Yarrowia lipolytica: one gene and its partners. The protein of the gene in region 2 interacts with the protein of the main gene of each other region in a biochemical or structural test. Links are inferred from orthologs where the notes say so. Each region holds a gene or a part of one and is shown on either strand. Other genes may lie near its edges.

The links.
Region 1: the proteins of YALI1_E21513g (region 2) and YALI1_B27399g form a complex in vitro, tested with the Saccharomyces cerevisiae proteins (2 studies listed by BioGRID, with this or other methods). The link is inferred for Yarrowia lipolytica from reciprocal best matches to the Saccharomyces cerevisiae genes RSP5 and SNA4.
Region 3: of the proteins of YALI1_E21513g (region 2) and YALI1_A05605g, one has a biochemical effect on the other in vitro, tested with the Saccharomyces cerevisiae proteins (4 studies listed by BioGRID, with this or other methods). The link is inferred for Yarrowia lipolytica from reciprocal best matches to the Saccharomyces cerevisiae genes RSP5 and SPT23.

The regions. Positions count from the first base shown.
Region 1 is NC_090771.1:2,736,751-2,745,016, forward strand, and holds YALI1_B27399g (uncharacterized protein), read right to left. Parts: upstream 3,134-8,266; coding exon 2,753-3,133; downstream 1-2,752. Other genes in the region: YALI1_B27360g (uncharacterized protein), read left to right, coding at 1-1,382; YALI1_B27404g (uncharacterized protein), read left to right, coding at 3,638-4,426; YALI1_B27429g (uncharacterized protein), read right to left, coding at 4,498-6,174; YALI1_B27454g (uncharacterized protein), read right to left, coding at 7,287-8,266.
Region 2 is NC_090774.1:2,145,874-2,156,674, forward strand, and holds YALI1_E21513g (uncharacterized protein), read right to left. Parts: upstream 6,137-10,801; coding exon 6,106-6,136; intron 5,448-6,105; coding exon 2,914-5,447; downstream 1-2,913. Other genes in the region: YALI1_E21478g (uncharacterized protein), read right to left, coding at 264-1,961; YALI1_E21524g (uncharacterized protein), read left to right, coding at 6,525-6,582, 6,631-6,908; YALI1_E21535g (uncharacterized protein), read right to left, coding at 7,319-7,622, 7,667-7,674; YALI1_E21552g (uncharacterized protein), read right to left, coding at 7,720-9,351; YALI1_E21555g (uncharacterized protein), read right to left, coding at 9,412-9,684, 9,729-9,797; YALI1_E21566g (uncharacterized protein), read right to left, coding at 10,479-10,717, 10,773-10,801. UniProt on the Saccharomyces cerevisiae protein: E3 ubiquitin-protein ligase which accepts ubiquitin from an E2 ubiquitin-conjugating enzyme in the form of a thioester and then directly transfers the ubiquitin to targeted substrates.
Region 3 is NC_090770.1:555,445-566,260, reverse strand, and holds YALI1_A05605g (uncharacterized protein), read right to left. Parts: upstream 5,678-10,816; coding exon 2,753-5,677; downstream 1-2,752. Other genes in the region: YALI1_A05662g (uncharacterized protein), read left to right, coding at 1-1,470; YALI1_A05592g (uncharacterized protein), read left to right, coding at 6,936-7,002, 7,053-7,480; YALI1_A05583g (uncharacterized protein), read right to left, coding at 7,507-7,723, 7,769-7,911; YALI1_A05571g (uncharacterized protein), read left to right, coding at 9,120-10,217; YALI1_A05527g (uncharacterized protein), read right to left, coding at 10,446-10,816. UniProt on the Saccharomyces cerevisiae protein: Dosage-dependent suppressor of Ty-induced promoter mutations. May exert its suppression effect through protein-protein interactions since does not present any of the motifs generally found in transcriptional activators or DNA binding proteins.

The sequences.
Region 1 (8,266 bases), on a different chromosome or scaffold from region 2:
TGCCACCACCAGACATGACCCGGGTCACAGGATACCTCAAGCCCAACTCGCAACTGCTGGAGAAGATAGTCAAAGCCTTTACAGAAGCCCTGGCGGGACATAGACAGTCACTAGTGACCCTCAACGCCTCCAACCAGGAATCCATTCTGTCCACCTCCGTAGTCATCTTTATGATTGCCCTCGCGCTTGGAGAACTGATTCCCCTCATCAACTTTGAAGGAGGAGCCGACGTGATTGGAGTAGGAAGAGGCGTGATTGAGCTGGTGTTCCAGCTGTCGGCCAAGGATAGAATGGTGCTATTCCCTCTACCTCCTCCCATGCCCAACAGATCATACCTTCCCAACGAACCTGTGCTTTGGCAGCTTATCTCTACAATCCCCGACATGGGCCACCGACAAATGTGTTCTATGGAGCTACAACAGCTGATAGAGCTCTACAATCTGGACGTCAAACACCGGGGCCAATCACATCTTCCCGGTTGGGCTACTTACATCTCTGGAGGCTTCCTGCAAGCTACTCGAGCAGGAGACCCGTACTGTTTGGTTATTCTGGGCCACTACTGCGCATTTGCGCACATGTCTCATTCATTTTTCTGGCTTCGAGATCGTCTCAGTGGCGACTTGGAAGCTATCGTTGATGTGCTTCCTGAGGAGTTCCATCACTATCTGGAATGGCCTCGTTCCATTTGTGGTAGATTCGACATGAACTACCAGGATCTTATTTCTGGCAGACTCCAAAAGCTGACCCTGGACGACAAGGATGAGAAGATCGAGCCTGCTCACTCCGAACTGGGACCCGGGCCTTCCCAAGAAGGACACCAACAACACTATGACGGCCCCATGCTTGATCTGTTGCAACAGCAACAACAACAGCAGCCCCAACAGCCCATCCCTCAAGTGTCTCAACAACAGCAACTCGACCAACTGGACCAACAGCAGCTTACACAAGACCAGATGCTACAGTCCCCACCAGAGCGACGGCAGTCCAACCACAGTCAACTGGGACTCTCCGACAACCAGGATCCACATATCCAACAACATATTCTTCACCAACAACAGCAGCAACAGCAACAGCAGCAACAGCAGCAGCATCAACAGCAGCAGCATCAACAGCAGCAGCATCAACAGCAGCAGCAGCATCAGCATCAGCATCAGCAGCAACAACCACAACAACACCATCAACATCAACAACCACAACAACCGCAGCATTCTGGAGATCTACATCACTCTGATCTGCCTCCACCTCCGGAGCAGCAGATTCCGGATATGGGAGATATGTATCAGTACAGCAACCCGGGTCCGTCAGGCCATGTGGATCATCATTCGCTAAAGATGGATCACAATTCATCAACCCACGGATCGATGCTTTCGTATGGGCCTTAGTGGATTGCGACGATGCGGTTCAATGCATTTGTTTCTAGGATGGACAGGCTCACTTCTTTGTCTTCCGTCTTGGAACAACAAATAACAGAGGCTTTTATTTAATCTCGGTTGTCAATGCCAAGCTCATTTTCGGGCTAGTCCTTATTTATTTGTATAATATGAAAACGAGATGTTCTCTTCCTATATTTCGAATTATGGATATTGTATCTGTTCCTGGTGTCTCATGTCGTAGGTACAAGTGTCGTAGCTTGTCACGGTCATTTGGGTTCCAAGGATGGAATAATTCAGCTAAGGCACTAGCGGGGGACTAATGCGGGCCTACAATAGCGCTCTGCTAAACTTCAGACCGTAGCCTGCATAGTCTTGTTTGCCGTCAAGCGGGGGTATATACTGAATTTATTGGCTGCTGGTTCCTCCATGTGGGATTATTTATTTAGCCTTGTCAACAGGAACGATATAAGATACGTTATGAGACTGCAAAATCGAGTCTTGAAAGCCAAAGAAACAGCCAAAAAACACCCAAAAGTACCCTGGTGATCCCACTACGACGGACGGCGCTCCCGCTGGACTATCTCCCTTTCTCCGAGTGGTATAGGGGACATGACACCGTGTTGGAGTTTTAGTGCCATTCTGAGTTGCTGTAGATTGCATCATCACAACCCAGCGCTGCGCTGGCTGCCGCCAGGGTCACCTTGAAACTTTGGCTATGCTACGGTTGGGCACGGGCCGTGTCCGTGTGGTCTCCTGTTCTGATCGCGATTTTCGTTTCGGTAAAAGGCGCGGATTATCATATAGCGAGACACGAGCTGGCCTGCAGATCCGACATGTCCGACCCAAGGCATGTTGGATGACATGTACTGCTGCTAGTGTATTTCTGAGGCTGTTATAGTGTGTATTTGATAATATCAATGGGATCGGAGCACAAGGGAACAAGGGGAGGCCTATGATATCTCCACACCCCAGATATCGTAGTTGCGTTTGTCTGCGGGGCCTGCATCACGTATTACGATGGAGTTTTTCTCCTTCCCGTATTGAAAGATGGTTCGTGTGCGCACATACCCAGGGCTGTAGAAGAGCGTTTAAAGGACGTATACAAGTGTCTTATTCGTTAATAAAAGGGCCGATTACAACCCTCAATAACGGTTGGATAGGTACGCTACTCACTTAATGACCGCAAGTGGCAAAAGGGAAAGGGGTACATAAACACCGCAGTCCATGCAAGATTGCGCAGCGTTATATACTTATAGAGAGAGAGGGTGGTTCTATTCATAAGCGAATACGATGTCTGCCTACTACACAATAATTGTCATACGAGAATGGGTGCTGGTGCTGTAGAAATGTCACGTTAACTTACTTATAAAGATACCCACTTACCCAGAGTAAGGAGGAGGGCGGTTGGTGTTGTCCTTCTTGTTGTCCAGAGAAGTGTAGTACTCCCCGGAAGGAGGAGCTTGGTGCTGGGGCTGCTGCTGGTGGCTGCTGGAAGGACCGGCTCGTTCGAGATCAGAAGAGCCGTAGAAGGTCTGCTCGGAGCCGTTGACAGGAGCGTAGCCGCCATGCCGACATCCATGCTCGTCACCGGGATATTTCGAGATGATGTAAAAGGCATGAATCAGGCCGGGCAGGAAACCGAGGCAGCACAAAGCCACATTGATGAAGAAATCTGCGGAACAGACACCTCGTCGAATGGCAACTGGAATTGGGGGGAAGAAAACCGCCACAATGACAAGAAGAAGGTCGGTGCAGCTCATGGTGATGTGTGTGGATGTGTGCGATGGGGGTTTAGAGGCGGACCTGGGCTGTTACTCAGGGGTTGTAACTTGTGCTTGTATATCTGTGTCGTTTAGAAGACGTCACAGGTGTATATAGTTGAGTGGGTTTGCGGTTTAAGCAAGGCGTTGGTATGGTGATATATAGGGCTTGCTTGACGATGGTGGCGAACTAAACTCCATAATTAGGGTTCGGGTATTCCCACAGCGGGTGATGTCATGATACAGCCCAAGGCTTCATCTGGAATATTGTATGGTATATGTCAATGTTTTAGGAAGTCTATATTTTTGTGTGTAGAGACCATGTAGTAGCGAAATGTGAAAAAAATTCTCCAAAGTCGCCAAAATCGAACGCTCAATCTACAGAAAACACACTACAATGTAGTTGTATCTCGCCACTGACACAACCATGCGGCTCAAAGCCCATCAGAGTTAGGCTCACGAATCTTTTGATGAGAGCCTCACGATAACAACAGAACACACCAGATGAAGCGAAACCTGGAGGAGTACACGGCAGGACCGTTGAACGAAGATACAGGCCAGCGATCGGCATTTCCGCTGGACGAGCAAGTGGCCGACCTGGACCTTGAAGGGCCCCCTATGGATGTCGCTCAGTATCTAGCCCAGGTGAAACGAGAAGCAAACCAGAGTCCAGCATTTACGACAGTCAAAGGACAGAGACGTGCCACAACACCCTCAACATACTCGAAGAAATACACGGAGATGTCTCTTGTTATGCCACTATCTGTTATCAACGAGTGGAGAGTGGAGATCAGAAAGTCATTCATGGAGTTACGGAAAACTGTGCAATCGCATGGAGATGAACGACCTGAACTACCAGCTGATTCAGAGCTACCGACAACATTTTCAAAATGGAAAACGTTCATTTCGGGCTCTTCTTCTCCCGAACCAACACTACAATTCATTGCATCGTTGCCCCACCAGCAATTGTTCATGCTCTTGGAGTACTGTCATAAATGGCTGGGACCTAAAATCAGCCGTGGTCTCAGTATATGGCTCATGGGTCTGTTGTCGTGTCTGCCCGACATTCTAGACGCGTCAGAGCAGGCGTCAGTACGGAGTCTGGGTAAACGAGCTCTGGAGATTCTACAGAACCCCAAATATGATCGACTGACAGACGTTACGGAATTTGCATTGAAATCAGTCGTCATCATTTGTGCCGACGTCTACCACCAGCATGATCTCGTCGAAACTGTTGCAATTATGGAACGAGAACGTCCTGTTCAAGTGAATGAGATTGTTCTTGACTACTAAGCATTACACGTCGGAGATACAACTATTACTTGTACTTGTACAACACATCAATTTTTATAAGTTATGCATGCTTAATGAGCAAATCTGAAATCCAACCGCCGACTTCCCTTGTCTGTCGAGTTTTGAGCGTACTCCTCTCGCTCTTCTTTGGACATGGCGCTCCACTTTCGATCTCTTCGTTTGTTAATGGTGACATAGAAGATCTTCGTCACAATGAGCAAAGCGATTGTTGCTCCACTGATAATAATCAGTTGGGTGTTTCCCCTGTGGTAGAATGGAGCATCATCCTTTCGATAGATCTGTGTGGCAGCAACACCTCCAGCTTGGACGCACATGTTGTACATGGCGGCAGACACTGTTCTTTGAGACACAGTGTTGGAGTTTCTGGAAGTCCATGCCACAACAACAGCATGGATGTAGGGCCCTCCAAGAAGAAGGACTAGAATGGTGTAGGTACACCAGACATTAATACCCGATTCAGGGTAGAAACGGAGAGCAATCACCAATACCATGACCCACAGGGGTTGAATGATACTGACGAGGGACCGCTCATTGATCTTTTCAGACAGCCAAGTGAAGGACAACAAAAGAATCATTTTAAGAACACTCACTGGGATGGTCAACAAGTTTGTGTTGAAGGGAGAAAAACCCAGGTGTCGAAGAGTTAGAGTCAAGTAGGTTCCTTCGGGACTGTCTCCAATGTATGCCAGAAGACCAATGGCATAGATGGGCCACATGTAGAAGTCAGACAGACACTTGTAGAGAGTGAATGGGGTAATTGCTTGTCGGTTATGAAAGTCACCCTTGTACGGGTCGTCTCGTAGAACTCGATTGACCACAATCTTCTCTTCTCGGTCAGTGAACCAACCGTTTGGTCTGAACCACTTCTTGGTACTGACAGCCGAAGCTGGCATTCTGAAAAAAGAGGCTAGTCCGATACACAGAGTTATGAGTCCTTCAATGATGAACAGCCATCTCCAGCCAGCCAAACCTCCAGAGTGGATTCTCAAAATTCCAAAGGCCAAGAGCGAAGTCAGAACGTTCACGAGATACAAACCAGTCCAGAAAAAGGAGAGTCTGATGGACAATTCTTTTGAGGTGTAAAAGTACGACAACCAAAGAACCAGGTCAGGAATGAATCCTCCCTCCAAGAGACCAATGAGACTTCGCGTAGCATAGAACGAAGATTTTCCCTGAAGGGCTCCTTGACACATGGCTACCGCACTCCACAGACAGATCTGGATTGGAATCCACCGATCAGGACCTAAACGTTTGGAAACCAGCTGAGACGGAATCTCAGCACTCATGAAAGACAGATAGAAGATCATGTTTCCGTAGTTGTACTCGTTGGTGGTCAGCTTCAGGTCTTCTAGAAGATTATCAGACACAGCCTGAGCCAAGTTGTTTCGGTCAATCTGCAGTCCCCAGAACATAATACATGCCCAGCCAGCGACCCTCCACTCCATCTTTCTCTTGACACGTTTCTCTTCGTCCTTGGTCCACTCGAAATCGGGATCAAACACATGTCTGCTTTCGTATTGAGAGTCCTCATAGAGCTGTCGGAACTTTTCAGCAACATTTGGATCAGTGAATGGGTTCTTGTGATCTCCAGATCCGTCGAGGACTCCGTCGAACTTTTCGTCTTCTGTTGCAGACAGGCCTTCAGTAGAAGAGACCTCAGCCGTCTCATAGTCGACGGAAGCCGCAGATACAGCCTTTTCCTTGACAAATGGGTTTTTGAACTGCATTGCGAGAATAATCCGGTCGCACACACCTCACCCAAGATTATATACTGTCTGTCAAGCCACTCTCCAGCCCGAATATAACTCATCGTGGCTTGCACAACCGTATGGACGGTGGTATTGAAAGGTGGCTTTGGTTCAGACATACGCGATAAATATAGGCTTTAATTTCGGGATCTTGGGGTCCTCGGTAAGGTAACCTTGATTCCCCGGACACCCCCACATGGTCTCTATCGTGCATATGGTGATACTCCTATCGACGCATGCCAAGAGGAGGTTAGACAGAACTTGCAGACGAAGTCTTGGCAGATATCACTCGTAGAATACTGGTAGATGATCATTCAGGATGAAAACAGGTCTCGTCAAACACTCCCCCAAATCTTAACCAACAGGCACGAGAGCGGATACACCTTCGGAATGGGGAGTGTTGCGCATGACAAGCTTTGTGGCCTCAAACAACGTTGTATCACGTCTTGTGCGTTAATGTGGCGTTTACGCCTCGTACTACTAACTGTGGAGGGCATCGTGTAACACAAACACGGCAATCACGCCAGGCTGTGTACGGTGTGGAGGGAGGTCTGAGTCAGGCAGCGCCCCTCCCAGCCTCATCTCCGGGTACAAATAAGTCCGGCATTGACGGTATTGAGTCATGTCTGACTGTGGGTTACGTATAGTGAAGGGAGGCTACACCTGTACTTGTACTTGTACTTGTACTTGTACACGTATATATTCGTAATATACTATCTGTTGCTCCAATGACTACAACTACTGTACTCATTAGTCCACCTCAGGACTATCTCCCTGATATTCTTACACAGCCCGCTCACACTCGGTTACGTGCCGCCTATAGCTTCTTGAATAGGTAACGAAGATACACGTGCCTTTTTTCGTGCTATACAACAGGCTATTGACGAAAATTTTCGCAAGAGTTTTTTCATTTGGCTCTTCATACCTACAACGTAGCTACAGTAGAAGCTGCGAGTACTGTATGTGCTTGGATAAGCTATTCAACGACTAATACCTTAGGCAAATCGACCTACAAGTACATGGTCTCATAAGAATAATATACAAATGCGATTTATATCCGACTAATTATATCCTTATACCCGTATCTCCTTTTATCGTCCAGGTCCAATGGCACGTTCCTTGGCCAGACGCTCCTTCTTCTGCTTGGCCTGCTCCTCCTTGCTGGGTGCCCTTCTCATAGCCTCCTCCTGGGCTGCAGCACTAGATCCAGCACGTCCATCCCACGCAACTACAGGCTTCTTGGTGGGCCGTCCGCCGTCTCCTTGCTTGGCCTCAGCCATTCGCTTCATGTTATGGGTGACTCCACTGGTGGCCAGGTTAGTAGACTGTGCACGGGAGTCCGCCAGGTCCTTCTGAGCCTTCCAATTGGGGTCCAAAGTGTACACTCGCATGTGGGAATCATACGAAGACTCAGGAACCACCTCTCCAGAGGGAGTAACAACTGTAGCAGGAGAGCTATTCTTGAGTTTATTGAGCTTGGACGTTCCAGCAGGTCGAATTTTCATGTTAGAAGGAGCAGAGTACACTTTTGGTTCCTCCTTGACCACCACCTCTGTACTCCCCTCCTTGGCGTCCTCCTTGGCCTCCTCCTTGGCGTCCTCCTTGACTTCCATCTTACCCTTGGTGACAATCTCCTTATTCTCTTCTTCGTCGTCGTCGTCACTGTTGGGAGCGTATTCCAGCTTCAGACCTCGCGATCGCTGCTCCAGTGAAGAGAACTGCAGCTGAGCAAGAGTAAGGGGAGCTGGGAGCTCCCCAGTCTTGTCCTTGTCGGAAAATACAATGGTTTCTGCAACCACAAAGTCATGCCAGTCGATTTCTGCAAATGCAATCCGTTCTCTTTCTGCCTCTTCGATGGCCCTTTGGTTCTTCTGCTCAGTGTGGGAGATCCACTCGGCACGCCTCTTGGCTAGACCCAGAGCGTAGAACTTGTCCTTGACAGCAGCCTCAATGTTGGTCCGTGTACTTTCAGGAAGCGCCGAGAAACCAGCATCTAATGCCTGACCTACCTTGAGATACTGTTCCACCAACAGCTGGTAAAATTTGTGCAGCGAGTGTGAGGGCTTGAGAA
Region 2 (10,801 bases):
GTGATAACACCAGTAGATGAGACAAACAGTGGAAATTTACTACACATTTGCTTAAAACATGACTCTTGTCTTTACGATGATATCTTTTTATCCCCTTCACCATCACTGTAACATCAAAAACAAACCGCAGCAGGGTTTGTAGCCCAACTATTTCTAACAAACTTATCCAACTAAATCGAGTCTAGTATGTACATACCACTTGAAAACCTGAAGTCGGAAGATTCTATCCATGTACTTCCATTACCAATCTATTACTCTAAGACCTATTGTCTCAACTCATGCTCCTTGACAAAATACAAACAAATGGTGCTGATGGCGCACATTGCGGTGGCGTAGAAAAACACGTCTTTGATGGCCAGGTCGTAGGAGGCGATGATGGCGGGCTGGAACTTTGCGGGGGCCTCTCGGATGGCGGTCACCGACTCCTTGACGGCGGCAATGGTCAGCTCGATCAGTCGCACCTCCTTGGGGGTCGGCTTGTCCACCACGGCGTACATTTTGACCGGCAACCACTTGGAAATGACCGCCTGGAAGATGGTGGAGGACAGCGACACGCCCAGAGTGGATCCCACGCCTCGGAAGGCATATTGAATGGAGGTTGCGGTGGCCTGTTCCTGGTTCGAGACCGCGGAAATTAGCGCCAGCAGCGAAACGGTGAGCATGGCGGCATAGCCGGCTCCGGGAACAAACAGCATGGTGTATTGTAGCCAGGCCGGGGTTTCTGCCGACAGAGGAATCAGCGCAAAGACTCCCATGGTGGTGAGAACTCCCGCGGCGATTCCCAGATTGTAGTACTTTCCGGTCTTTCGCATGTAGATTCCGGACGACATGGATCCAAACGAGACTCCGATGAAGTTGCCCACCAGCCGGGCGCCCGCTTTGGCGTCGGAATCGCCCAGCACAGACTTGTACCACAGAGGCACGTTGTAGAGCATGGCAAAGATTCCCATGGTCATAAAGAGGTTGGTGAGCGACGACGCAAAGATGGTTTGTCGATAGAGAAGACTCACGGGAATCACGGGGTTGGCACACTTGAGCTCGTAGTTCCAGAAGACCACGCCGGCAATCACAGAGATGATCAGCGGGGTGTAGATGATGGGTTCGGTCCAGGCGGACTTGGTGGCGGACGAAATGGCAAACAGCAGTAGCGACAGCGACGTGACCAGCAGAGCCGAGCCGGCAAAGTCGATGTTCTTGACCTTTTGCCAGGTAGTTTCGCCGGTGGGGTCAGAATCGGTGCTTTTGGCATGTGGGAGATTTTCAGACTCCACGGATCCGTAGAGAACCGACGAGTTGGCTCCGGACAGAGGATTGGCCACGTCCGAGTCCGCCGGCGACGTGGTGAGGGGCGAAACGGGGGTGTTTTCGTCGGCGTTTTCGTCGGCGGACTCGGGATCGTCGAGCTTCTGGTTCTTGGTATTGCTGTTGGTCATTCCAAATACCACCAGCGTGCCCGAGCAGACAATAAAGGGCACCTGGATGAGAAACACGCCTCTCCAACCAATCCACTGCGACAGCACGCCTCCCAGAGCTCCTCCGATCGCCGCGCCCGAACCGTAGGCAATGTTTCCAACGCCTTGGTAGATTCCTCGTTGTCGCAGCGGAATCAGATCGGAAACGGCAATGGTGCTGACGGTCAGAAGCCCACCGCCGCCGATTCCGGCAATCACTCGGCCCACAATCAGCGGCATGAGCGAGTACGACAGACCGCACAGGGTGCAGCCGACACCAAAACAGGCCGACGACACCAGCAACATGGCCTTTCGACCGAAAATGTCGCTCAGACGGCCATACAGCGGCTGGAACGCCGCGCACGAAACCAGGTAGCCCGTGGCGATCCACGAAATTCGCGACAGCTCGTTCAGATCAGAAGCAATCGTCGCATAGATGGAGGTGACAATGGTGGCGTCCAGCGCGCTGAGAAACACGCCCGTGTAAAGCGCAATCAGAGTGAGTAACATGTGTGTGTGTGACCAGTCAAACAAGTGTCAAACAAGTGTCGAAAAAGTCGGTTGCGCGTGCATCCGACGCTTCTTTTCAACTGCGAAGATAAGCCTCGCAGATACGCCAAGGTTTAATAAGGAAAATACCCGACTGCTCGTGCACGTAAAATGCGGACTCCGGGGGAACCAGTGGGGAAAACGAGACACCCCGACGGGCACATAATCGACGGTTTGAGAAGCGGAAAAAGAGATAGCCGGAAATTAACGTGTCCAAAAATCCGATTTCCACTCTTAAAATGCCCAAATCCACCAACCCTAGCCCGTTTCACAACCCACACCCCCAACCCGCTCACTATTCCCAATCCAGAAACTACAACCTAATTCTGCGATAACTGTCATGTCCGGGAAATACAACCACAACCAAACTACTTGTAGCAGTCAGAAAAACGCACACCTCCTAAAATCAGGCCGCGGGCCTTCTCGCCGGTCACGTGACCAGAAACCAATCTCGCAAACTGAAAACACGCAAACTGCTGCTCTCAAACTGCAACCCTCAAACTGCAGCCCTCAAACCAGCCCCACCTAAATCGTAGCTTTGGCAAATAGTGTCGCACAGTAGGTTAGACTCCCGCACCAGCTGTGGAGAGAACAGTGGTCTCTCAAACTGTTTTTCAACCGGTTTTCAGATGGCGTCGCTCACTTTTGAATCACTCTTTTGAATCACTGTTTCATCTAAGGCTATACCCGATTGGTATACTCGTCTACAATGCAATCCCATACCTCTTCCACCTACATATTCTCTCCATCACACCCAGTGTATATCCCTCACTCAAACTGTGGCTGATTACCAACCACTTGTACAGCTACGATACTGATAAAAGGTTTATACTCACCGCGCCTTACTCAGCTCACTCAAGCATGTTATAAAAATGTATATGCTACCTGCACTGCGCAGTCCCGTCTCCCCGGCTTACTCCTGGCCGAAACCAACAGTCTCCTCCACAGCCATGGACAGCTTCTTGACCAAATCCTCGTAGTTCTTGTACGGAGGCAGATCGACTCGGTTGAAACAGGTATGCGACTTGGGCAGATGCTGGGCCTCTCCAGCCTTCTCAATCGTGAACCGGCGAGGACCATCGCTGCCCTGCAGATCCTTGAAGCCGTTGACGGGGATTCGCGACGTACCGGTCGTGAACTGCAGCAGCCGCGACTTTTGCTCGCTGTCCCACGATCTAATGCACTGCCAGAACCACTTGATGACCTCGTCCGACTCCGAGTAGCCCCGGTAATCGGTGTGCTTCTTCCAGTCGTCGACGTCAATGTCGGCAATACCTCCAATCAGCAGCTCCAGCTCCCGCTCGTCAAACACATTGACCAGCTCCTGGGGGATGAGCTCGTAGAATCCAGACACAAACGCCTGGAACTGCTCCTCCACACGCTTGCTGATTCGCCACTCGGTCACAAGCTCAACGTATTCAATCTTGTTATCGTTGGTCACTTCAATGTTTCGGCCGTCGGGCTTGAGATCAATGGTGACAATCTCGCCAAACTGGTCGTCCTCCACGCTGAAGGTCAGGTCCAGCACATCGGTAATGTCGTTGTCCAGCGCCCACTCCAGGTTTCGGTGGTAGTCCGCGTCCACACCCTCCATGTCCTCCAGCATAACCTTCTTCTTGAGAATCATCTTGTAGAAGGCGCCAATGAAGAAGGCGTCAAGGAATCGACGATGGAAAATGGCCAGACCGACGCACCGACCGATGAACTTGAAGTAGTTGAGATGCTCGGGGTTGATGCCACTGTGGGGGTTGATCTGCAAAGTGTAGTTGTCGTGCGCCGAGTATTCAAACAGACAGTAAAAGGGGTTGAACATTTCGTGCGACAGCAAAAAGAAGAACTCTCGCGACACTCCTCCGTAATCCAGACCCTCCTCGCCGTCGAACTTGATCATCAGTCGCTTCTGCAGATCCTGTGGCGTCTGCCGCATAATCTCCTGATATGAATCTTCAAAAATGTGATCTCGCCGCACCTTGATGTGGCACTGGCCAGGCAGAATTCGCAGAGCAGGCTGCGACCGGAAGTAGATGAGCTTTCGTCGGAAGTCCCGCTTGTACTGCGGCACGCTCTGGTCAAGCGACGAGGGCAGCCGTGGGTCTTCCCAGGTTGTGGTCTTGGTGTTGTGGTCCACAAAGTACACACGAGCAGTGTTGGTGAGCCGCATTTCCCAGCCGGAGGGAAGGGGACCCAGATGGGACACAGACATTTGCTGCACGGTCGTGTTGGTGCCCCCCGCGGCGTTGGTGCCGCCGTACATTCGAATGTACTGCTGTCGCCGAGGGTCGACCCAGGTTGTAGTTCGTGTGTTGTGGTCCACAAAGTAGGGCCGTCCCTCGGGTGTGAACCGCTGCTCCCAGCCGACAGGCAGCTCGCCCAGTGCGGGTGTGGTGGCTCCAGACATGGTCATGGCCACGGCGTCGGATGCAGACCGGGGAGTACCACCCGGGGAGGTGGCTGCAACACCGCCGGCGGCTGCACCTCCTCCCGCCGCTCCCGACGACGAACCTGCGGTGGCGCCGGAGCCGGTACGGTTGTGGGAACCGAGCGTGGGCGACTGGGCCCGCTCCTCGGGCAGCGTTCGGTTCTGGTGCCGCTGCCGCTCCAGGTTAGTGTTGTTCTGACGGGCCTGGCGCGACTCGGACTCGTTCTGCGAGTTTGCCGGGCGGGTCCACGTGGTGCTGCGATTGTTGTGGTCCACGTAGTACGTTCGGCCCAGATTGTCGGTACGTCGCTCCCAGCCGGTGGGCAGCCGGCCAAACTGATCCTCAAAGGACGAGAAGCCCCGGGAGTTGGGGGCTGGGCGTGCGGCCGTGGACGTGGCGGTAGCGGTGGGTGCACCGGCAGGGGGGCCTGTGGTGGTTGTAGTGCCCGTGGTGTTATTGGCCCCGTTCAGCGCACTGGTCGATGTGCTGTTAGTGGTGGCCGAGGGGGTGGCGCTGTGCGAGGTGGAGCTGCTTCGCACGCTGGAGTTGTCGACGCTGAGGGACGAAATGTCGGGGAGGTTGGTGCGAGCAGCAGCAGACACGGAGGCGGTGGATGGGGCGGTGGAGCCTGCCGCGGAGGAGGCGCCGGTGGCGCGTCGGCCGGCGGTGTTGGTGCTGAGGTTGAGGATGATCTTGCCGTTGACCACGAGCGAGTCGTTGGCCTTGCGGAGGTCCTTGGTGATCATCTCGTCTCCTCCTTGGGCCAGGTTGAGCACGTCGCCCACGCGGATGTTGATGACGCCGAGGAAGCCCTGGTCCTTCTTTTTGAACTTTTTGTGGTCAAAGATTTGCACAACGATGATGGACGACGGGGTAACGTCGACGTCGAACGACTCGTTCCAGTAGGGGTTGAGCGTTTTCTTGATGACGGAGGTGGTTCGGGTTTGGCCGCCGTCCACGAGGACCACTGCGAAGGGGTCGGGGAGACGGAAGACATCTCTTTTGTATAGTTGGTCTGCGGCGATGACTGTGTTAGCGGGGTTGGAAGAGTAGCGTGTGCAGCGAGCTACGAGGGCTCGAGTGGACACCGGGTCGCACGACGGCCGGACACCGGGTCACACGACGGCCGGATACCAGGTCGCACGACGGGCAACGACCAATGCAATGATATGAACCCCGACCATACAACGCAACGATGGCAACGACTGATGACAATGATGTACAATAACGTACGGCAACGACGTTGAGAACATATTTGACCCGGGCACTCCTCCACTCTGATCACAGAGGAGACCAAGTCTTGAAGACGTCCTGGCCATTCCATATCGTAGGTCTTTGCCATTCGACACCGTCATTCAGCATGGTCTCTCCGCACCGTCACTCGTTCCGTCACTCGTTCCGTCACTGGTGTCGCACAGACTCGATCTCCGGTCCAGAGTTTGTGTATCTCCGAATGGATATCAGGCCAGTTGTCATAGGGGCGTTCGGCCGAGGACCGTTCCCATTGGACTGTGTCTGTGCCATTCTCTGTCTGTGCCACCTTGTGTCTGCGACATTCTCTGTCTGCGACATTCTCTGTCTGTGTCACCCTGTCCCATGTCCACCCAGTGTTCCGTTGGTCCTGACTGGTCCCTGACTGACTGCCACAGTCGCTCCGTGGCGCAACGCCACCGGCTCATACTCACCCGTCAGCCTTAGCTTGGTTGTCCTGGGCATGCCGGAATTCTATCGCTCTGGTGGAAGAGGAAGACTGTGCTGGAATCTAGGAGCTTTGTAGCCCGGTTCGATAACTAGCTCAAGTGAGAGTGACACACACAGTTTGGGTCTTAGTCTTGCTGCCTCGCCTCCCAATTTCAAAGTTACCCGGGGTACGTAGAGGCATTAATAGTGGTGGTGGGAAAAGACGGGCAAAGGAGCCGGTGGCCGAGTCACGTGGACTCCCGCAGACAGCAGACACGTGCCTGCCACCTGTTTGTTGCGCGGCCAAATATATACCCCACGGGCCCTTGTCTCCTTCTCGTTTGTTTCTCCTCTGAGGATTCCTTTTTTTTTTCTCTTCATCCCCACCCTACTTCCAACTGTACTGCAGTATGAACTTTAGTGAATGTGTGAGTTCAATTTGACGAGGTTGTTGGCCATGTGCTGTACGTGGGACACGCACGGTTCGAGCCCAGTATGAGCACATTTGGCTGTATTACACCGTGGGACAGCTCCTTGGGTCCAACTTTACTCGACGGTCGCCAATCCGCTCTTTCAACCGCTGAGACGAACCGCTTCTGACCGTCTCAAACCGCTTCGACAACGTTTGTCAGCACCTTCACTAGCGCCTTGTACCTACGACCCACGATACTCCACTCCGCCCCGTATTATTCAGGAGATGCCACTGTTGGTCCAGCCGGATGGATGCGCAAGCGGACCGCGAAGTAAAAGCGTGTCGACGTGGTCCATGCGACATTTGAAGGGCTCGTGGAGTCGGAGGAGTGTATAGGAGCAGTCTATAGCAGTCTATAGCGTCTATAGCAGTCTATAGCAGTCTATAGCAGTCTTTAGGAGTGCACTCGTATCAATCTATACTCCAGATGGCATCGTACCTGAGACACTGGTGACCACGACACCTCCACTTGCCGAGGGCAGGCCGACCACCTCACCAAACTTGCGGCATATCTCAACTTTGCTCGCCAACCTCGACACGGAGCTTTTGCTCTGCTATCGTGCAGGTTGCGTGACTAATGTGGGTCGCTGCGCCTCCTCGGAGCTATTTTGGGAGTAGCGAGTGGCGGTGAAGACAAGCCCGTGGGTTCGAGTCTGGCGGAAAACGAACATGGAGCGGCTAGGGCTGGGGTATTTCCGATCACTAATCACAAAAGGGAAGCGCATCTGCATGGCGTCAGCTTTGCCCTACTTTGGAGAAAGTGGGCGGAAAATGGTCTGAGCAAATATCGCCGGATGTATATATAGGAGCGAGCGTTTGGCTCGGCAGGTCAACAGAGACGACTGACGAGTAACAGGCGACACGAGGACAACAGAAGAACGTCTCGACTTACGAGTAGACTCGGTAAGACTCACGAAATCCACATGTTGACTATCGACCATTGACAGAACCACTTCCGTGACTTGCGACTTGATACCTTTCTTCTGATCGCTACCATTGGTCTGATTCTGATCTGATACCTTTCTTCTGATGCTGATGCTGATCCTGATGCTGATCCTGATACTACTCTGATCTATGATATCTCCTATCCCTACTAACTCATCAAGTAAACATTCACTATGCAAATAAATACGGCATAAAGTCCAAACTAAACCTGGTCGGCTCGAGCCCAGTCCTTGGCCTTGGAGTGCTCCTCATAGGAGTTGCCCGATCCGCTGGGCTCAACGCCCGACAAGAACTCCACGCCATTGGTGGACTGCTCCTCAAGCTCGTGGTCCTTGTGGATGGCATGCTGGACGTTGACCTTGGGGCCCTTGAACCACTTTCGTGCGTCGATCATGAACCAGCCAAACGCCAGAAGCATGGGACCAAAGTAGACCACCACGGTCCAGTTCATGGTGTCGAGATCGAGGTTCTTGCCCTTGTACTGGGGCAGACACAGAATGGGGGTCATGAGCGCCACATAGGCGACCGACAGAATGCCGCAGGGCCGCGACCATCGGCCAAGGTTCCAGGGCCCGGGCTTGAACTTATCCGACGACCAGAAGACCTTGATGCCAATGGGCATGGTGAAGGCCACGTAGCCGGAAATGGCTCCCACGGAGAAAATGGCGCCGATGGCGGTGTCACCAGCAAACATGAGAAGCAGCAGCAGCTGACCAATGATCCAGTTGAACCACACGGCGTTGACGGGCGTCTGGGTGTAGGGGTTGACCTGGGCCCAGATGTGGGACAGAGGGTAGCAGCCATCACGAGAGTAGGCAAAGGCGACTCGCGACGCTGCCACCATGCAGGCCTGGCCCATGAAGAAGCCCGAGATGATGGTGAGGGCGGTGATTGTGGTGACAAACCGTGGAGTCAGACACTGTTGCAGGTAGGTGACAAAGGGCTGGCCGAGCTCGTCCTGGGTGACTCCGGCCACGTCTCGGACCGTGTAAGCGATGGCGATCTGGAAGGCCCAGCCCATGAGTCCTCCGACTCCGGAGGTCATGACGATGGCTCGGGGAGCGGCCACGGAGGCGTTGGAGCACTCTTCCGCCAGGTGGAAAGGAGAGTCGTAGCCGGACATGGTCCAGATGATGGAGATGAAGGACATGAGCACGGCGATTCCGTTAGGCCAGTCGGTCTGGTTGTCGATGAACGACCACACCTCATGGGAGTTGTTGAATTTGTGGCCGTCTTCTCCGGGCTGGGCGCCGCCAACAATCATGAACAGCACCACAAACAGACACAGGGTGTTCATGAGGGTTCCGGCACTGTTGAACCGTGCAATGAACCGTGTGGGCATGGAGGAGATGATGCCGTGCGAGAACATGATGCCCAGAGTGAGCAGATACACGTGCCATGTTTTGGCAGTGTAGGAGGGGTCGTGCAGTGTTTTGAGGGCGAGAATCATGGAGGCGGTAGAATAGTTGACCGAGGGTGCGGCCGTGACCTGGCAGAGCCAGTTGGACCACCCCGTGAGCCACGACATGAGAGGGCCCCATTTGGGGGGCGCCAGCACCGCTGCGGCGTAGTAGAGACCACCGGAGGTGGGCATTGACGAGCACAGTTCTGCCATGCTCATGGCGACCGACTGCACGCCGACCATGGCGATGAGCCAGCCCCACGTCATTCCGGCGGTTCCGGCGTATCCCAGTCCGTAGAAGAGGGTGGATGCAATGGAGGGGAGGAGTCCGAGGACCGAGAAGGAGACGGCGAACGTGGACCACAGGCCGAATTCTCGTTTGAACTCCTCCTTGTATCCGAGCGCCTCAAGATGGGCTTGATCTGCGTCCATATTGTTGACCAGTGTGAGATATGGTGGTTAGATGTCAATCGAGTGTTGGTGAGTCAAGTGTCAGATCTGAGCCAAGTCTGAGCCAAGTGTTAGATCTGAATGAGACAAACGAAATGCAAGATCTGAGCGAAATGTGAGATCGGAATGAGATGAACGAAATGTGAGATTGGAAATCGGAACGAAATCTGACGGAACGAAATCGATATGAAAGATATCTGAATGAATGATATCTAGGATGATATCTAATACGACAAAATCGTTCTTACCAACTGTGAATCGGTTACTGTGCAACCTGTCTGTGTAACCCACGAATGTCGTCTTGTCATGCGAAAACTGGATCCCATGGTCTATATATATAACGTAACGTGGGTGCGGACACAACGGCGAGTCGAACTGATAAGCGGGGGGATTTGACTTTGCCGATATGCACTACCAATCTGCACCATCCCAAAGAGGATGTTGTATGCTGATAAGTGTGGGGGGGGGGCGAGTTTGAGCGACTGGCCAAACAAAAAAGCGAAATGGCCAAAAAGCGCCAATCCAAGCGCCGAAAAAGCCCCAAGTCCGTGTTTTTTGGACGCTCCAAAACGCCCCCCACACATCCCCAAATCACCCCCCAAATCTCCCCAACCCCCAAACCCCATAAACCCAGCTAGCGTGGAAGGACAAATATACTTGTTCTGTAGCATAAAAAAAATACTTAGTTTGTAGCGCTTGTACCACCTGTAATAGCGTCCGCACAGTAGCACCAAGTGTAAGTATATACCTTGCTGCATTTTTTAAAATACCCTTATCATCTCCCTTGTACCTTAACCTACCGTGGAGGTCGGAATCCGGCGACGCACAAGACGGAGCGCGAGAGCAGCGCGAGAGCAGCGTGGATCCATGCACAAATGGGCGTGGGCGTGTGCAGAGATGCCAGTGTGGCCAATCGGACACGCCGTCTGTTGCGTCTGGAGTCATGCTTTTCGCGGCTATAATTTCCGCCAGCCCCTCAGTAGGTTGGCATCATGAAACCCAAACAAAAAGCTCCAGTATCAAGGTTGTGCCCAATCACGCCCATATGTCTGGAACCTTGTGTCTGTTGGTTTGTTCCTTGTCGTTGTTGCTTGGTGCCAGCATCTTTCCTAAACAGTAAGGTGTATGAGGGTGGTGTATGAGGATGGCGGTATGTCTTCATTCAGTTTGATTCTCCGAATCCCTCCGAGTGTGGAGATCCAGTGATGAGGTGAGGTTCGACACGACTTGACCAGACTACCAGACTCAAACTTGAGATAACTTGAGATGCACTTGTCAGACCCGATCCATCTCCAAGCCACAAATCTTTGCAAACAAGATACTCTTGTACATTCTGTAGTGTATCGCTCTTGTGTGCTGCTATCTTCCCCCTACTGCTCAAAGGTATCTAGATCTCATCACACGTGCATCTAAGCAGCCCCTCAAAGTCGCT
Region 3 (10,816 bases), on a different chromosome or scaffold from region 2:
GGAACCCACTTGGATATTCCTTACGCACCAGCAGAAGAGTCCCATGAGGATGATGAAGATTATGGATCACACAGCAGTAACACCACAGGACTAGACGCTCTCTCAGAGACAACAATCTCTCTTCCCCGGTCCGACTCGCCTTTACCTTCGTTTGAACAAGTCATGCAGGAACAGAGATCACTCATGGTGGACTTTACCCCCATTGTCTCAGTGAAGTACACGAAGAGCACGCGGGTCAAAAAGATGACCACTGCTCTAGTGCGTCACATGGTAGTGTCGGAGACAAGGGCTCAAACGAACGAGACTCTGGTCCAATGGGATCTCTTGTCGGGTCGATCCAAGCCTGTTGAAGGGCCCGTTTCTGCAATCTCCAATCCGGTCTCTATCCAAGCCTCCACTCACAAGTACTCGCTTCACTGCTCTCTTCCTGCTGGGCTTCCTGAAACTGCTTCCCACAACTCCAACAAACTGTGGTACACTCTTGACACCCAGGTGAGCTGCCAAAAGCGGTTACATTCAAACTGCGGCCTCATTGAGCATTCCCAGGAGATTGTCATAGCCCGAGGCAGAAAGATAGACGACCAGACTCTTCTCCCCGTCAATGTCTCGGCTCCCTGGCTCAACAAGCTCAGATTCGTTGTTTCTTACCCGCAGAAAGACATTTCTCTAAACGAAGATACCGAGATCCCCGTCAAGATCACCACGACCCTGTTTGAGAAGCCCATTCGACTCAACTCCGTCAAGATCTCCGTGACCCAAACCTGCAATTCAAACGCCAATGACACGCAGAAAACTGGACTCCTCACCGTGTATTCCAACCGATACGCAGATTCGGACGATGTAGAGCATGACGAAATAGAACTCCAGCAAGCCAGGGAAGAAGGGTTCGACGTGAAGGAAAACTTTTTCGACTCCATCCATAGAGGCAATCTTCTCATCCCCGGAGCCGAAGAGACAGTGCTGGATTACTCGCTGAAGTTGAATTCCCGGATCATTGACAAATTATCCGCATCAACCTCCCGCACCCACCCTCTTCACGTGGTGCACAAGATATACGTGTCGCTGCGCTTCTCACAATTGGATATGACCAACCAGCCCAATCAGAAGTCCCGAAGGTACGTGGACCTGTCTCTGTCTGCGCCTTTGGTGTTCTCCAGAGCGCGGTCAGTCTTCGGAACCGCTCAGGTGGACGCTTGCTCTAACCTCGTGCCGTTCGAATATGAAGACTTTTTGCTGTGCGAGTACCCCCTGTTAAAGAATACAAACATGGTCTTCAAAAACGATTACGCCGATGACTCTGCTCCTTCCTACGAGTCTCTAGCACCCCCAGATTACGAGGCGATCGACTCAAAATGGGAAACCAAGGCGGATACCAGGGGAAAGACTGGTTGCATGGCTCGAAGTGGATGTGTGGACCAAGGTGAAATGAGGAACACGAGATGTCGGTGGTTTAGACGAACCATGCATTAATCTTCCTAGCAGATTATTCGAATTACGATATTGGACTTGTCAACGGTGCCAGCACCATCAAGTGTTCTATAAGTATCTCTGCCAATACTTGTCGAGAGACATCTGAAGTGCAGAGAGACTAAAGTCATGGTCGTTGAATGGATTCAGACACCAGAATTGAAGCCGTGAAATCCCTTCAGGTCTTCAAAGGGCTCTCTCAAAAAAGCGGACTAGTTTAATCTCGTCAAATCGAGTTGCAAAAGCGAGTGTTGAGTCGCAGATGTGGAATGTCTATCGTGACAGCTATACCTGAATGCTGGAAGTACCAACTAATCAGACCATAATCCCAACTAAAACTTTTCGCTCCAGCAGGAGAACAGCAAGGGGTCTCAAAAATGCTCAACAGAACCAGTATTTACAGCCACAATACATAAATATCCACAATATAGTACAAGTACACTTTTGTACACGCTCAGAACATGACAGTGATGATCCGTCCAGGTTCGGGTCAATTGCACAACCGTGAGAAAAAGTACTGCTCATAAAGACAATATAGGAACAGTCTTGACCTTAGAAGAAACGGTCTGCAAGATCACAATATATTCCATTATCACACTGCTGGAAGACTCTAGAGTCATAAATCCGTTTGTGCAGTTTTGAACCAGTTTGTAGATCCTTTTTCTGGACTCACAACAGACTTGAAATTACCCATTAGTCCAAACAAAAGCCAGAAGGGTACTAATGAAGTCAAGATAAATATTCTGATATCAATTATAAATCAATTCGCGAGATTTTTGACAATTTTCATGATAAATAATACAGGATACATTTTTTTTGAAAATCGCCTGGCTAGCTCAATCGGTAGAGCGTGAGACTCTTATTCTAAGGTCATCTCAAGGCTGTGGGTTCAAGCCCCACGTCGGGCTTTTTTAAATTAAAATTTAAATATTTTTTTCCCAAAAAATCCTCCTCCATTGGTTCTTTGATGGGGAACAAAAATTTACTGCCTTCGACCAGATTTGAACTGATGATCTCAGCATTACTAGTGCTGCGCCTTACCACTTGGCCACGAAGGCGGCTATGACGGCGCAAAGATGATTATTCAGCCAAATTCCGGAAAAACGAAAGAATAAAATTAGAATTAAAAATTAAATAATACGCCCCTGACTCAGGTGGTACAACCTCACAGTACTGTACTGTACATTTAGTTACACCAAAAGTACAATAGAACAAATCATACTCTTTACAAAACACCGAAAATACTCAATAAATCACTTGTCTAAATGCAACTATTATTTTCGACTCAACTCAACCACTTGACTTTGTGAATGTGCTTCTTGGGAATCAGGACATGCAAAGTATAGTCCAGAAAAGTGTCTTTCATAGACTTGACATCCCAAGAAGATGTCGAAGAGTAGCCCATGAGAGAGGACCGAGCGGTCAGATAGGCCCAGTACATGAGAGCAACAAAAATGGGAAGCCAGAAGAGGAAGAACATAATGTCTTGGTGCAGAAGCGTACGCTTCGACTTCCAGGCCTCCATGACCTCCTCCTCGCTCATTTCTACTGCTCCACAGGAAGCAGCAGACTCATCGGTGGGTGTGTTAGAAGGAGTGGCAGACACTTCTGTCTGCTCCTTTCGGTCCCACGAGCTGGGGGCTGCTGGGGTGGAAGACCCAGCTTCAATGACCGACGACGAGTAGTCGATTTCGGGCACCTTGGAGCCCTCGGGAAAGATGTCTTCGTATTTGGGAGGAGCATGCTCGTTAGGAGACGAGGAAGACGCGGGAGACGCGGAAGACGCGGAAGACGATTCCGACGTAGATGACTCAGCGACCTTGAAGGGCGACTTGATGAAATCATACAGATCGCCCATGTTGGAGCTCCACACCGCGCTGTTAAGGTCGTACATGTACTGAGCGATACCTCGGGGTCCTCGTGCTCGTCGTCGATGTCGACGCGACCGCTTGGAAGATGCGGGCACTTCAGTCTCTGAACCAGAGTCATCCGAAGAAGCAGACACGCCCGAGTACATGAGATCCATCAGATATGACCGGATCTCCTCCTCAGCAATGTCCAGCGCGTAGTGACCGGACTTGGACTCCACAAAGAGGTTGACGTTCTGAGAAGCCAGGTACGTGACAACATCCAGCTTGCCACGAAGAGCAGCGTAATGCAGCGGGGTAAAGCCCGCGTCGTCTTGGGTGTTCAGGAACACGCCCCGAGAGGTCAAGAAAACCACTAGTCGTGTGAATCCGAGTCCGGCAGCCAGGTGCATCATCGACTGCGTCTTGGCGTTGGTGAAGTTGAGGCCCTCGTTGTTTTCAGAGCTCTGCATCACGTCACAGCAGCTCAGCAGCTTGATTACCTCGCTCTCCAGCTGCATCTGCTGTTGAATGTAGTCAGGCTGTTGATGCTGCTGCTGTTGTTGAACCATCACGCCAGAAACGTTATTGACTCCTCCTCCTCCAATAAGCCGACGAGCAATGTCCTTAGCGTCCTCTAGCTTGCCGTTCATCTTAAGACCCACCACCTGCAGAGCCAGCTCGATGAGTTGTCGGTCCGTGTCATCGATATATGTGAAGACCTGGGGGTTTTTGACGGGGATACCAGAGAAGGCGACAATCACGGGCCCGGCAACCTCAGTGGCAGGAAGCTGTGCGACAATGGTCGTATCACTCCAGCACTGGGTTGAGGCAAAGTTGTCACCAAACTTCACCACGAGTCCGTCATGGAAACCCTGGCCCAGCAAGGTGATCTCCATACCTCCCCGGATAGAGCCCTGAGAGGGAATAAGCCGCTTGACGGCAGGGACAGAGGAATCCTCCTCCGCCGCACTCTCGGACCCACTCAACAAACTGGCCATGTTGGTGTATGACTCGGAGAAGTCGGTGGATGAGGGCACAGACGTGAAGAGATCCGTGTCGGGAATGGAAGATGTTTCTGAGACAGAGCCCAGCTTCTGGAGTGACGTGGTCGACGACATGGAGTAGGGTGTGTCGTCGGCGCCACTCTTACGTTTCTTGGTGGTTCGAACCACCTCCATCTCCATCTGAGGACCATCGGGAGAGGGCGATTGCGCCTGTGATTGTGGTTGTGATTGTGGCTGTGACTGTGGTTGTGATTGTGGTTGTGATTGTGATTGTTGCGATTCGGAAGAGACTCGAGCTGCTAGAGAGGACACGTCGCCCTCGGTCAAGGCCTTGTGGTCGTCGGTGATCATGATGGGGGTGGTTTTTGTCTGGGCAACAACACGGCCCGTGTGGTCCCTCAGCGAAATGTAGGCTGTGAAGCCCAGCTCCTCGCCGTGGTGGCGACAGTAGCACGCGATCCGCATGGGCAGATCCAGCCGTCGACCCACCACTCCTCCTTCGGTGGTCACGGGGGACAGCTCGACAATCTCTTTGCAGTTGAAGATGATGGCGCGTCGGTCCCGGTCGCAGTTCCAGTGTGCTTCGTCGATGGGGACACGCACCTTTTTACGCGACGCTCGCTTTCGCTCTCGGTTCATGCAACCAGAACAAATATTGACGAAGTTGCGGGGGTCCGAATGGCACACGACGACCGTCTCCAACATGAGCACGTCGGCGTCGGGCTCGAAGCCCTGTCGCAGCTGCAGCTTGGGTTTGGAAATTGTGTCGGTGGGGAGATGCACAAGGTTCTGTGGTGGCGGCGGGTACACAAACATGGACAGGTTGATTTGTGTCTCCACTCGCGAGCGGGGAGGGAGGTCCTGGACCACAAGCTTGTGGGCGGTGTGACTGCCAATCTGGTCCCAAGTCACCGGGTTGAAGTCCGGCAGATAGGTGGGGGGCGAGCCGGAGTTGTGGGGGCCAGGGCTCAACGACGGGGGGTAAATGATGGGCGTGGTTCGGCCAAACTTGTAGTTGGCCAGGCCGGACTCGTTTTTGCGTTTCTTGGCCTTTTGTGTCTGTGTGGCGGGTTGTGTCGAATGTGTCGAATGTGTCGGAAGCGTTGCCGGAGACTTTTGTATCGGCGTGGGTATCGGGGTCTGTGTGACCACGCCCTGCTGGGGCGAAAAGAGGTCCATGTGGAACTGATCCATGTCAATGTCTAGCTCCTCGTTGAGCCCGTCGTCGTCCTCAAACATGCTCATGTTGAGGTGCTGCTCAATGTCGTAGTCCTCGTGGGGGGCTCGCCGCAGAAAATGCTGCGGCAACATGGATCGTGCAATGGAGTACACGCCGCGTTTGGAATCCGTCTCCATTTTATGTGCTAGGGCTGGCGCAACCTGCTACTGTACTGTAGAACCACTGGTGTATCGGAAAGGTGTCGGTAACGTTCCGGGTGCTAATTTGGTGGCGCTCACACGCTGTTGTGACAAAGCGAGAGTGCGTGTGTGTGTGTGTGTGTGTGTGTGTGTGTATGCCTCTGGGCTGTGCTCTCAAACTTGTGCGGTCTCGTGATGGGGCTCTTGGTTGCGTCGGGAGTGCTCGCTGGCGCAAATGCGGGTTTTGTCTTGCTCTGTCTGCAACTCTGGCGCGCTGCTGGTGATGTTGGCAGTAATACTGTCGTGACTGGTTTTGACCCAGCGGTGGAGCAGTACACTCCTCAGAAACCCTAAATCTAAATTAAATTACCGGGTCTGACAATTACTCGTAGCCTGGTATGAGAAAATCAACGTTAAGATTGGTCAACTTTATACTGGTATTACCAGTCGGGTCTTTTTTGACGGTTGTTCGTCTATCGCTTTCCCAGCACAACGAGGGGAACTGCTAGAGACGCTTAATGTATCATGTGGTTATAAAAAGAGAGTAGAAATCGCCGACAATAAAAGCCCATCGGACCCCCAATCACTTATCTTCCTCCTCCTCCACACACACACACCAACCCCGACCCATGTCCAAACCGCGCACTAAACTAGTTTGGCCCTAACCCCCGTCCACCACTGGTGCCTCTGCCACAACAAGCCCATCTGCCGACCAACCCGGAACGAGCCCCTGACCCACGCTCTAACCCCGGTGTTTGTGCCATGTGGCGCTAGACCCAGCCGCGAGCTGGTGGCGGCGGTTGCTACAGTAGCTCCTGTACGTGCACATGCCCACGTCATCACAAGAGTATCCACACGGGCTTTGTATTTTTTTTGAGTTGCACAGTCAGGTGTGGGGAACCCAGCTGATGCGGCTTATAGGTTTTTGGCCATTACCTGTACGAGGCGACCCTTGCCCTGGGGGGCTAGACACAGTGCCTCTTTTGTGGTTTTTAGGCTTTGCAATTAATCCGAATTACGGGGCGAGGGAGCAGCAGAGTGCAAAGAGAGGCGGGAAAAGCGAGCGGAAAAAGGTGTGTGAAAAAGAAATGACCAAGACCCAAACAAGAAAACGCTGACTGGCTAACATCGAGACGTTGGAGGACCCAGGGAATAGCCCAGGGAATGGCGTGTCCAAACCACCAACAGGGCTACTCACCACTAACGTCCGGGCCATTGGAGCCAGAGCTGCTGGGGTCGTTTCATTAATTAGCAAATGTCCTTAGCTCCTGGTGGCTTTCGAGCCAAGCACGGATCGGACAAAACAACGCTATCGACAGATGGTTATACAACAGATGACATTTACAGCTCATACCAGGGCTGCCAAGATGAGGAGTCCAACAACAGCAAAAAGTAACGACAAGTCACCACAAGAAGCTCCCGACACTCATATCTCGTGGTATCGTTGCATTTTTCCACTCTCTATGTTCAATCTATGATTCCAGCAGTTGCACCTGCTCTTTAGGACCGCTACGATACAACCAAAGTATCTATTGCACCACCTCTCAAACACACAAGATGCACTGCTCTGTCTTTCCCGTCTCCACCACAGACCGACTACAAGTACAGTATGTGCAGTGCAGTACAAGTAGATGCACTTGTACGTCATCACAGCTCCTCTTTTTCCTTCCCACTGACAGCTTTCTACTCCTCCCATGTAGCAACCCTTTACTGTCATACGATCTTTGCTACATGGACCTTGTCCTACCTATGGGCGGTTTGTTTTTCCGTGGCATTTATCATTTATTGCTTCAGTTATGAACGTTACGGCCAACTGTTTTCCACGACTATAAGGCGTCACACTGCCTTGCTATACCTCCTATTCTGCTGAAGTTATGACCACAACCCGTGATGCACTCCCTCCTACAGCGACATCCAAAAACACTTTGCTGTGCACAACGCCCAAAATGTTCCGAAATGTCTCGCGAGCTACGGCAGCAAATGTCTCGTGAGCTAAGTACGGCAGCGAAAACAAATGTCTCGTAACCATCTTTGTTTTTCTTGCTCAGAGACACACTAACTAACTCACCGTCTGTAGCCGGGTCACACTACGGGTGTACTTTGCGATACCAGATGCTACAATTGTAGCCCAGACCAATGTGGACTTGTAGCCTATGCGATCGTGCTACTTGTAGGGGGACTGTATTACACCAAAGTTGTTTTGAAACTGTGATCAATACGCCGCAGTCCATGAGTGTGTCACCCCTTTTTTTTTTTCTTCTTTTTTTTTCTTCTTTTTTTTTCTTCTTTATTCTTTTGATCCCTAGCCTGCTCCAATGAGATGCGCCTTTTTCGTATTTCCTGTTCGGGAGCGTCGTGTGAACCTACGGCGGCATGGCAGCTGCGTAATCATTTCCTGAAGAGCAGATGTCTCCAGTTTGATTTCGACTGCGGACGGATTATTGAGATTATCGCTAGACATGCTGCAAGGGGAAGGTAAAACCCGGTAGGGTAATACCTGGCTAATTTCCTCACATAATGATAAGAGGTCAATAGTGATGAGAGGAACCAGCTTGGTCGTAGACGAGATGTCCATCCTGTAGATGTGTATCCGCTGATCTACAATCTCTTGTCGTGAATGAGCAAGCACACACCCTTCTGTGTGCTACTATCAGAACGTGGTGTCCCTAGAAGTGAGCTGTAAGTCGTTATATTAACTATATCTAATCAATAATACTTAGGATTTTCAATAGCTGACACGCCACCAAGACAGCCCTGGTGAGAACGCAAGTCAACAGAATAAAATGCTGGAGGAAAAGTGTTCAGCTCGACTTTGGCGTTAAAGGCTATCTCAGCCATTTGTGCAAACAGCTATTGATTTTTCTCAATACATTTTCAATACATTAATTAAAACATCATCTAAGAGAATAATTCTTGTATCGAATGTAAGCAAAACGGGTTATACTGTGCAAGAGGAACGAGAGACTTGTGACTCCGGTGGGAAAAAACGGGTGTCCAAACATTTATCGTCTCAGTCCGATCTGACCAGGATTCGAACGATGAACGAGGAAGATTGCCCAATATGATGACTTGACTGGTTTAAAAACCCCAAGTAAGGATAATTACAGCTGGGATATCAGCTTAAAAAATTAAACAATTAAAAAAACAATAAAACAAATAAAACAAAATAAAACAACCAATATTACGGCAACACCAAAAAGGGCAATCTTGTACCAGGCGGAAGTAAAAGAAAGCGAGAATGCACTGGATATCCCCCTCCCCCGACACTTTTTCCAGCTACCTGCATCAACTCCAATCCGCGTCTATTCGACCACCACCGCGAATCGAACTGAAGCCATCGGTTAAACTCTAACGTAAAGCCTATTCCAAAAAATTATGCATGAAGGGTGTTTAAAAAATATATTTCAGAGCATGCTGATCACTAGCTACACAAACCACCATGTCGACGGCAAAGAAACAAACGATACATTTTTCGGGCCACAACAACTTCCGACGGCGGCTCGTGCTCGCCACGTTATCGGGCATGCCTGTGCGAATCGACAAGATCCGGTCAGACGATGTGGAGCCCGGTGTGAAGGACTACGAGGTGTCGTTTCTACGTCTGCTTGAATCGATCACCAACGGATCGGTTTTTGAAATCTCCTACACAGGTACCACGGTTGTTTTCAAGCCCGGAATCATTGTGGGTGGTTCTGTGACCCATAATTGCCCCCTGAGTAGAGGAGTGGGGTACTTCATTGAACCTCTTCTGCTTCTTGCGCCGTTTGGCAAGAAGGCCCTGACCGCCACTCTTCGGGGTATCACTTCGCATTCTCTGGACCCGTCGCCAGACAGTATTCGAACCTCCGTGTTCCCCGTGATGCAGAAGTTTGGTATTGAGAGACAGGAGTTGAAGATCATTCAGCGAGGAGCCACTCCCCTTGGTGGAGGAGAGGTGATGCTGCACTTGCCGCACCTAGTGCTACATCCAAAGACCCTTCATGCCACCACCACACCCACCATATCCAAAATCAGAGGCATTGCATACTCGTGTCGAGTGTCTCCTGCGTCCGTGAACCGACTGATTGATGGAGCGAGAGAGGAGCTGAGAGCCACTGGTTGCGAGACATTTATTTTCTCAGACGTGGCTCGAGGAGACGAGTCTGGAAAGTCGCCTGGCTTTGGTATTGTGCTTGTGGGAGAAACCAGACCCGGATTTTGCATTTCGGCCGAGTCGGTGGCGGTAGCAGGCTCCATTCCTGAGGATCTAGGTCGAGAAACCGCCAAAAAGCTCATTGAGGAGATCAGTAGAGCGGGCGTGTTTGGCCGCAACCAGCTCGACATGGCCATCATCTTCATGATTCTGGGATCCGGAGATGTCGGACGGCTGGTGATTGGAAAACAGAACATTGACGAACGGTTCGTCACCCTCGCCCGAGATATCAAGAAGTTTTGGGGCGTAGAAATGCGTCTCAAGGAGGACGACGAGAACGAAAACGAGATGATCTGCACCGTTAAGGGAGTCGGCTTTGTCTCCGCCAGTAAGAAGATTGCTTAAGTAGGAGGAGACAATTGATCTAACGATAGAGGGATGGTAAACTAATAAATAGACGGAACACATGGCTTGATTAGAGACAATAGCGGGAATATGAAATATGGATGTAGTACTTCTATGGTAGAACCTACTCGTGATAAATGTGTATAAAACGTGTACTACAGTACCTTTAATCAGCTAAAATACATTACTACATAAAACCATACTAATTACAAGATGCAACCCTCTCCATCACAACGAAGACTTGCCAGACCCAGGAGTCCACTCGTCCCACTCAATTACCCGCGTCTCTGCAACACCATACTCAGTTCGAGTCCAATGACGACCTTCCCGCACATACTCAACCAGAGGATTGGTGTCGTAATTGCAATAAATGGAAGTTGTCCGAGGCCCCGAAGTGTCGTCTTCAAGAACCAGCGTGGCGTATGTGCCGTTGGGGATGTCCAGAAGAATCTTCTGAAGATCATCCATAGTCTTGACTGGCTTTGAGTTGACATGGGTCACAAAACATAGATTGTCCTGCTCCAAATCACTCAGTTGAGCCGAATCGGGAAAGATGACCATCTCCGAGGGCCATTCAGTGGCATGGGTCTGCCGAACAT